2 linked regions of the Cricetulus griseus genome follow. The protein of the gene in region 1 binds, or shares a complex with, the protein of each later gene. Links are inferred from orthologs where the notes say so. Each region holds a gene or a part of one and is shown on either strand. Other genes may lie near its edges. The genes, in order: Eif3g and Eif3e.

Region 1 (4,556 bases):
GCACCTGTGGATGAGGTCATTGGATCCCTGGGACTAGAGCTATGGACAGTTGTGAGCTGCCATTTGGGTGCTGAGAATGGAACCCAGGTCTGCTGGAAGTGCAGCCAGTGCCTTTAACCACTGAGTCAATGCTGTCCACTTAAATTTTGTTTTTAGAATTTTCCCATTTGTAGACAGGTGATGGTGGCTTATGTCCCTAATCCCAGCACTAGTGAGGCAGAGGCAGGCAGATCTCTGTGAATTTGAGGCCAGCCTGGTCTACAGAGCAAGCTCCAGGAGAGTCTCCAAAGCTACACAGAGAAACCTTGTCTTGAAAAAACAAAACAAAAACAAAAACAAAGCAAAGGCCATTTGTCTGGATTTTGCATTTCTCTAGTAAATTTTTTGTTTTGTTTTTGTTTGGTTGGTTTTGTTTTTCAAGACAGGGTTTCTCTGTAGCCCTGGCTGTCATGCACTTACTTTGTAGACCAGGTTGGTCTCAAACTCAGAGACCCACCTGTCTCTGCCTCCACAAGTGCTGGGATTAAAGGTATGCACTCCTGCACACGCACGCGCGCGCGCGCGCATACACACACACACACACACACACACACACACACACACACACGGCTCCATAATACAAATTCTACGTGCTGGAAATATAGGTCATCACAAGTGCGCCCAGCGTGTGCTTTCCATCTGCACTAGCAACCCAAACTAAGAAAGAACTTCTTGGAATGCATGTTCCCAGAGGCTGAGAATCAAGTAAAGGAAGATTATACCAGAGTTCTAGGGGGTGTAGCTCTGAGGAAGGAGAAAAGCTTAGTATGGGAAATAGTTTAAGATGACACTGGTAGGAACCCATTTCACATAGAGGAATATTCCCTGAGCCTAGACACACGGGGGAGGGCCTACGTCCTATCCCAAAGGATATGACAAACTGATGACCCCCCCCTATGGAAGGCCTCACCCTCCCTGGGGAGCAGAAAGGGCATGGGATAGGTAGGGTGTTACTTGGGGGAGGGAGGCAGAGGAGGAGGGGAGGGAGAGGGAACTGGGATTAACATGTAAAACAATGTTGTTGCTTTCTTCCTTTTTTTTGGGGGGGGGTTCGAGACAGGGTTTCTCTGTGTAGCTTTGGAGCCTGTCCTGGCATTCGCTCTGGAGACCAGGCTGACCTCGAACTCAGAGATCTGTGCCTCTGCCTTCCGAGTGCTGGGATTAAAGGCGTGTGTCACCAACGCCCGGCCTTTTTTGGTGTTTTTTATTTTTGTTTTGTTTTGTTGACAATGTTGTTTCTAATTCAAATAAAAAACGGAGGAAAAAAAAAAGATGACACCGGTAGAACTTGCAAGATGTCTTTGCAGCTAAGAAGGCTGACTGCCAAGCCTGAAGACCTGGGCTCAGTCCACAAGAGAATAAACTGGGGAGATTGCTATGAGTGCAAACCCAGCCTTCGGTACATCAGTGCGTGGTGCTCATGCCTATAATTTCAGCCCTTCGGAGGTTGAGGCAGGAGGATTGTCGGGAATTGCTGGTTATCCTAGCTACAGAGTGATACAGTGACTTCTAATCCCATCACTCCCCCCCAAAAAAACAATAAATTAAGTGGGTGCGGAGAGTTTAAGAAGTTCTGGACGGTCTCTCTGGGACCTCCTTCCAGCTTGGGTCCCCGTACTTCGCTGCACACGAGAGTCGCGTGTCCGCCTTCGTCCATAGGGAGGCGCTGTGCTCGCCGCGGTCTGGCCGCTCTAGGCTGCAGGGGCGGCACCGGAAGCCTCGTTCTCCCCGGGCTTCCGCTCTCTACCCGGGCTGGGAGCTGCGTGGAGCTAGACTTCGCGATGCCGACGGGCGACTTTGAGTGAGGACGGGGCGGTGGCGGGCTCTCCAGAGAGGCGGTGTGGGGCAGCGCTGGGTGTGTGGTGATCCGGGCGGCGCGGGGGTCGGGACCCGCTCACCCTTCTCGTGTCTCCGCAGCTCGAAGCCCAGCTGGGCCGACCAGGTGGAAGAGGAGGGCGAGGACGGTGAGTGCGCGTGTGCGTGTGAGTGAGTGCGTGAGTGCGTGCGTGTGAGTGCCTGTGCGCGGCCCTCCGCGCCCTGTCCCGGGGCGGGCCGAGCCCCCGGAGTCCCCAAACCCACCCACACCTTGGCCTGGACGTCCCAGCCGTGTGTTTCACTTTCCGTCCCCCCCGCCGCCCCCGCATTGCCTCTGACAGACAAGTGTGTCACCAGCGAGCTCCTGAAGGGAATCCCTCTGCCCACCGGGGACACCAGTCCAGAGCCGGAGCTACTGCCCGGAGGTGAGCCCCGTCCAGCCCTGCCGTCCCCTCCCCCTTCCGGCCCTCGAGCCCGTTCCCAGCAAGTCCCCGTTATCCAGGACTCAGTTCCTGTTGTCTTCCCACAGAGCCACTGCCACCTCCCAAGGAAGTCATCAACGGGAACGTAAAGACTGTGACCGAGTACAAGGTAGATGAAGATGGCAAGAAGTTCAAGGTGAGGCCGAGGTGGCCGCGGGGGCGCTTGGATTGGCGATGAGGGCTGTGAGTGTTGGTTTGGATTGGTGAGGAAGGAAGGCCTTGAGGTTCTGGAAGTCCTTTCTCCCTTTCCATCTTCAGATTGTCAGGACCTTCAGGATTGAGACCCGGAAGGCATCGAAGGCTGTGGCCAGGAGGAAGGTGAGGCCCTCCCATCTGACTCACTTTGGTGTGTGTATGCGGAGGGGTCTCCAGGACTGGCCCAGAGGAGTTGGGAAGTCCTTTCCTGTTGATGTAGAATTAAAAATTTAGTGTCAGGCCCTGGAAATTCAGGGTCCAGGAGTAGTTGAGGTTAGATTTTTTTCCCCCCTTTTGTGTGCTCCTGTGTACAGTGTCATTCCTCCAGCAAATTCCTCTTGCATTGAGATGGGCTTTTGTCATCAGGAATTAGATTTGACTAGCTGGCCACCTATCCCCAGTGAGCCTGTTGTCTCTACCTTTGGAGATAACAATCACATGCTTCTGTGCCCAGCTTTTCATTGTGGGTGCTTGGGATTGGACTTTGATGGGTACTTTTGTGACAAATAATTTGCTAACTGGGACATATCCATCCTCTTGAGTTTTTTGTTTTGTTGTTATTTTTATTTATTTTTTGGTTTTTCGAGACAGGGTTTCTCTGTGTAGCTTTGGAGCCTATCCTGGCACTCGCTCTGGAGACCAGGCTGGCCTCAAACTCAGAGATCCGCCTGCCTCTGCCTCCTGAGTGCTGGGATTAAAGGCGTATGCTACCAACGCCCAGCCTTAATTTATTTATTTTTAAAGATTGATTTATTTGTTTATTATGTATACAGTGTTCTGCCTGCATGTCAGAAGAGGGAACCAAATCTCATTACAGATGGTTGTGAGCCACTATGTGGTTCCTGGGAATTGAACTCAGATCTCTGGAAGAGCACTCAGTGCTCTTAACCTCTGAGCCATCTCTCCAGCCCCATTTGTTGTTATTTTTGAGAGGCTCTTGCTGTGTAGTATTCAGATTCTAAATGCTTCTGCCTAGCCTCCTGGGTCCTGACTTAGATTCTTACTCCTTTGCTCTGTCTACTTGAAGGAACAAGCAGCCTCTACTGAGCAAGGGGCAAGGGCTTCTGGAGGAAGGACATCAACACATTGAGAGCAAGGCTCCATGCCAGGCATTTAGCAAGACATGGCTTCCCAACCTCTAGATCAGGCTAGGGAGGCAGGGAGCTTTGTGGTCCCATTTAACTAGCTTAAGGTTCCTGTGATCTGAGTGACTCTTGGACATCCTCCAGCTTCCTCCCTGGTGGGAGCCCGCCCTGCACCTGCCTAGAAACTTCAGTGGCACAGTTGTGTGCCATTCTACTCTGAGTCTCCTTGCTGTTTCCTGGAGTTTTTTTTTTGCTTCTCTCCTTATGGGGTGTGTGTGGGGGGGGGTAGGTGTGTGGGTGTGTCTCGGGGTCATGAATGGCTGTATATTCACACTCAGACTAGAGGAGGAGATTGGGTGACTTGCTCTGTCATGTCACTTTACAACTTATTCTCTTTAGATAGGGTCCCCTGCCCCTGGGCTATATTTAACTCTTTGGTTTGTTTGTTTTTTGTTTTTCAAGACAGGGTTTCTCTGTGTAGCTATGGAGGCTGTCTTGGCACTGGCTCTGGAGACCAGGCTGACCTTGAACTCACATAGATCTGCCTGCCTCTGCCTCCCAAGTGCTGGGATTAAAAATGTGTGCCGCTACCACCTGGCTCATACTTTCTATATGAGAGTTTTGGGTTCTTTCATGTACAATAACCGGTTTTACACACGGAACCACCTCACCAACACCCTCCCCCCTTCTCCCCCACTCCTTTGTTTTGGCCTCATACAGCAGAGCTCAGGCTGGTTTTGAACTTGTGTATCTCAGGGTGACCTTGAGCTCGGAATCTTCTGTTTCCACCTTTAAGTGTCAGGGTAACAGTTACATTCCACCAAGCCTAGCTTAGGAAATGAGAATTGTCACCATTATCACATGGGAGGCCTCTGGGGACACGAGAATGTAGGATTTAAGGCTCTGACGGGGTTGTCTGTCTGGGGTACCCCACTCTGCT
Region 2 (3,809 bases), on another chromosome or scaffold:
TGCTATGAACATTCTTAGAAATAAACTTAAATAGATGTGCTTTTGTTTTAGGTGTTTCACAGAGTCTGTGACTTCAGGAGATAAAAGTGTGAAGTGCTTGTATTCTTGCCAATAGGGTGTGAATATTTTAGCCAGGCTGCCTTGCCATTATTAGCACTGATACTGTTAGGTTTTCTGTTTTGTCTGTTTTTTTTGTTTGTTTGCTTGCTTTTGAATTAGAAACAAGATTGTTTTACATCTCAATCCCTCTCCCTCCCCTCCTCCCCTACCACCCCCCACCCCCAACTACAAACCTACCTATCACATATCCTTTCTGCTCCTCAGGGAGGATGAGGCCTTCCATGGGGGGGGTCATCAGAGTCTGTAATATCCTTTGGGACAGGGCCTAGGCCCACCCCCGTGTGTCTTGGCTCAGGGAGTATTCCTCTATGTGGACTGGGCTCCCAAAGTCCACACCTATGCTAGGGATAAGTACTGAACTACTACAGGAGGTCCCATAGAATTCTGAGGTTTCCTCTCTGAAACCCATGTTCCTGGGGTCTGGATCAGTCAGTCCCATGCTGGTTTCCCAGCTATCAGTCTGGGGACCAAGAGCTCCCCGTTGTTCAGGTCACCTGTTTCTGTGGGTTTCACCAGCCTGGTCTGGACCCCTTTGCTCTTCACTCGTCCTTCTCTGCATCTGGATTCCAGTTCAGTTCAGTGATTAGTTGTGGGTGTCTGCTTCTACTTCCACCAGCTGCTGGATGAAGGCTATAGGATGGCATCTAAGTCAGTCATCAATCTCATTATCAGGGAAGGGCATTTAAGGTAGCCTCTCCTCTGTTGCTTAGATTGTTAGCTGGTGTCATCTTTGTAGCTCTCCAGACATTTCCCTGGTGCCTGATTTCTCTGTAAACCTAAAATGTCTCCCTCTATTATGGTATCTCCATTCTTGTTTTCTTCTATTCTTCCCCCGACTCGACCTTTTTCTTTGTTTTTATCGTAGTTTTTATATGCACTTCCTTCCCTTCCAATTAATGAAGTTGAGATCTTCTCATGTGGCTCGTGTCCTTGTATCTCCTTAAGTGACGGTTAAGATGTTCTAGCCATTGCCCTTGCTCTTGGATTATCTGTCATTTCTTCTTTTGTTAGTGGAGTTTCATATGTAATGTGGCACATTCACTTTGGATTCTGTGGTACACTGTTGTGGACTCTTCCTAGACTCAAAACATAAGTCTAAATATCTCTCCGAGGTGGCTGAGTATCTCAGATTTCTTACATGTTCTCAGTGGCCTTTATATTTATGTGAGTCTGTATTATGTGTTTATTCCCTGTGAGTTAATACAATGTTTCCCAAGCACTCTGCAAATCAAAAACCTGGTATAAGGCGGACTTAGAAAATTGGTGGTGGTTTAATTTTAGAGGTACAGGTGGAGAAGCACATGAATGATCGCAGCTATTAAAAGAGAAAAATGTAAAGGTGTGGCCACATCAAGGAGAGGTGCGAGGCTTGTGGGCGCAAAGGGAAGCTAGAATCTAAAATGTTTAAGAGCCTGTTCCTAGTTACCTGGGTGTGGAGGAGGCAGGGATACTTGCTTTGCAGAGGAGAAGGTATAAGTACTCTTGTATATTGCATAACTTCTTCAGAAAGCATAAAAGGTTGCTTGATAAAACAATCATTGATCGGGAGTAATTGAGAATGACATTCCTTTTCAAATCTTTGGGTAGGTAATATGTTGTGTAAATTGAGTGCTTACTATATTGGTTGCTTTTCTTTTTACAAAAAATGACTGTGTGTGTGTGTGTGTGTACTGGGAGGCCTTAGGCCTTAGGTACCCTAAGCCAGTGCTCTACTACCGACCTGTATCTCTAGCCCTGTGATGCTTTTCTAAAAACTAGGCAGTGGAGGTAAGGGGGGAAACTCAGTGGATTGGCTGCCATAACACACACCTCTAGGTCAAAGGTCAGGGGACAGATAACTCTGAAGTCAACTTTTCCTCATCTGTATGTAATTTTCAGGGATTGAATGCTGCTCTCCTGACTTGCTTATCACCAGCCCCCCAAGATATGCTGAACCAACTCAGCAGCCCTTACACAGACACACAGACACACACACACACACACACACACACACACACACACACCTTTTAAATAGTGTTTCCTGAAGTATGTTTCTCAATAAACAGAAGGACTTAAATATACTGGTTAAAAGTAGTTTTTCTCTTACAGATATATAATGAAAAAGAATTATTACAAGGAAAATTGGATCTTCTTAGTGATACCAACATGGTGGACTTCGCTATGGACGTCTACAAAAACCTTTATTCGGATGACATCCCTCATGGTAAGTTTTATGGTTAGAAATAAAGCACATCATGTAGCTAAAGTGTATGTAAAGTTTTATGATATATGACAGCTGTAGCTAAAGTCAGCTGTCCTTACAGCCATTGGGTGAAAACATGTAGACAGGTTGCAAGATGTGTTTTCTCCTAGTGAAAGATGCGAGTCTACTTTAAACATAGTGATCTAACAGTTGAGACCATAGTGTGCGTCGTGGTACTTACGCCACAGGCTGACAGCCTACAGTTTTCTGAGAATGCTGCAGTTCTGTATATCCGCACATCATCAGCTTACCTGGGGGGAATTCCTTCAGAATGCAGATTTTGGTCCATGACCCAGACCTATTTGATCAGAAACTCCTGAGGCCCTGTAGTGGTGTTGGAGAGCTACGAGGAGAATACTGTAGACAGTTCTTAAGGAAGAAAGAACAGAAAAATGGTTCCTTAAATACCGGAAATACGGGCTGGGCTTGGTGTCTGATCCCAGCAGCATAGGGCCTAGAGGCACAGGCAGGTGAGTCTCTGAACTTGAAGACACCCTGATCTACACAGCAAGTTCTAAGCCTGCCAGAGCTCTGCCTCAAAAAAAAAAAAAAAAAGAAAAAGAAAGAAAAGAAAGAAAGAAAGAAAGAAAGAAAGAAAGAAAGCATAGGAAATACTATTGCTCCTGCCCCCTCTTCTGTACGTGTAAGGAATTCTGGACAGCAAAGAGCTCTTGTTTAAAATTGCTGTTTTTCAGATTTTGATAGCAGGTTCTCATTTTTTTTTTTTTTTTGTGCATGAACTTGGTAGCTGTTTTGCTTTTGGTTTTGAATGTGTCTTGAGCAGAGGTTTATAGAGAAATGCTGGGGGGGGGGCAGTGAGTTCATGTTGGGCCAGACAGGTGGCTCCTATGGGAAAGCATTTGCTGCAAATGCCCCCTGACCTCAGTTTGCTCCCCAGAACCCACAATAAGAGAACCAACCCTGCACTCACACCGATAATCCCCATCATTCATACTGAAAATAATTATAAATAAAGTAAAATTTGGAATAAAACAAGTATCCGGGTGTGGAGAAGAAAACACTGCTGTAGGAAGAGCACTATAGAATGAAGACATTGTTAAAGTCAATATAACTTTCTTTAGTTTATAGGCAGTAACTATTTAAATTTAGTTCGTGATGGGAGTGAAGGGTCTTTTTTTAAATTTTATGTGTATGATGTTTGACTGCTTGTATGTTGGTACACCATGTGTGTGCCTGGTATCCCAGAAGATCTAAAGAGAGCTTCACGTCCCCTGTGACTGTACTAAGAGATGGTTGTGAGCTGCCATGTGGCTGCTGGGGATCAAACTGAGATCCTCTGCAAGAGGAACGAGTGCTCTTACCCGCAGAGCTGTGTCTCCAGCCCCGAGATTGTCCTCTTTATCACAGCTTCCTAAGTGTCGAGAAGTACAAACGCATGCCACCACAACTCTAATGACTGCTAGTCTCTGAGAATTAATCTGAGATG

Evidence for each region.
Region 2: Eif3g (region 1) and Eif3e share a complex: the UniProt entries of both Homo sapiens proteins name them as parts of the eukaryotic translation initiation factor 3 (eIF-3) complex. The link is inferred for Cricetulus griseus from reciprocal best matches to the Homo sapiens genes EIF3G and EIF3E.

The regions. Positions count from the first base shown.
Region 1 is NC_048597.1:133,768,243-133,772,798, reverse strand, and holds the start of Eif3g (eukaryotic translation initiation factor 3 subunit G), read left to right. Parts: upstream 1-1,729; 5' UTR 1,730-1,820; coding exon 1,821-1,840; intron 1,841-1,956; coding exon 1,957-2,003; intron 2,004-2,195; coding exon 2,196-2,279; intron 2,280-2,383; coding exon 2,384-2,472; intron 2,473-2,594; coding exon 2,595-2,654; intron 2,655-4,556. UniProt on the Homo sapiens protein: RNA-binding component of the eukaryotic translation initiation factor 3 (eIF-3) complex, which is required for several steps in the initiation of protein synthesis.
Region 2 is NC_048603.1:9,459,916-9,463,724, forward strand, and holds part of Eif3e (eukaryotic translation initiation factor 3 subunit E), read left to right. Parts: intron 1-2,208; coding exon 2,209-2,323; intron 2,324-3,809. UniProt on the Homo sapiens protein: Component of the eukaryotic translation initiation factor 3 (eIF-3) complex, which is required for several steps in the initiation of protein synthesis.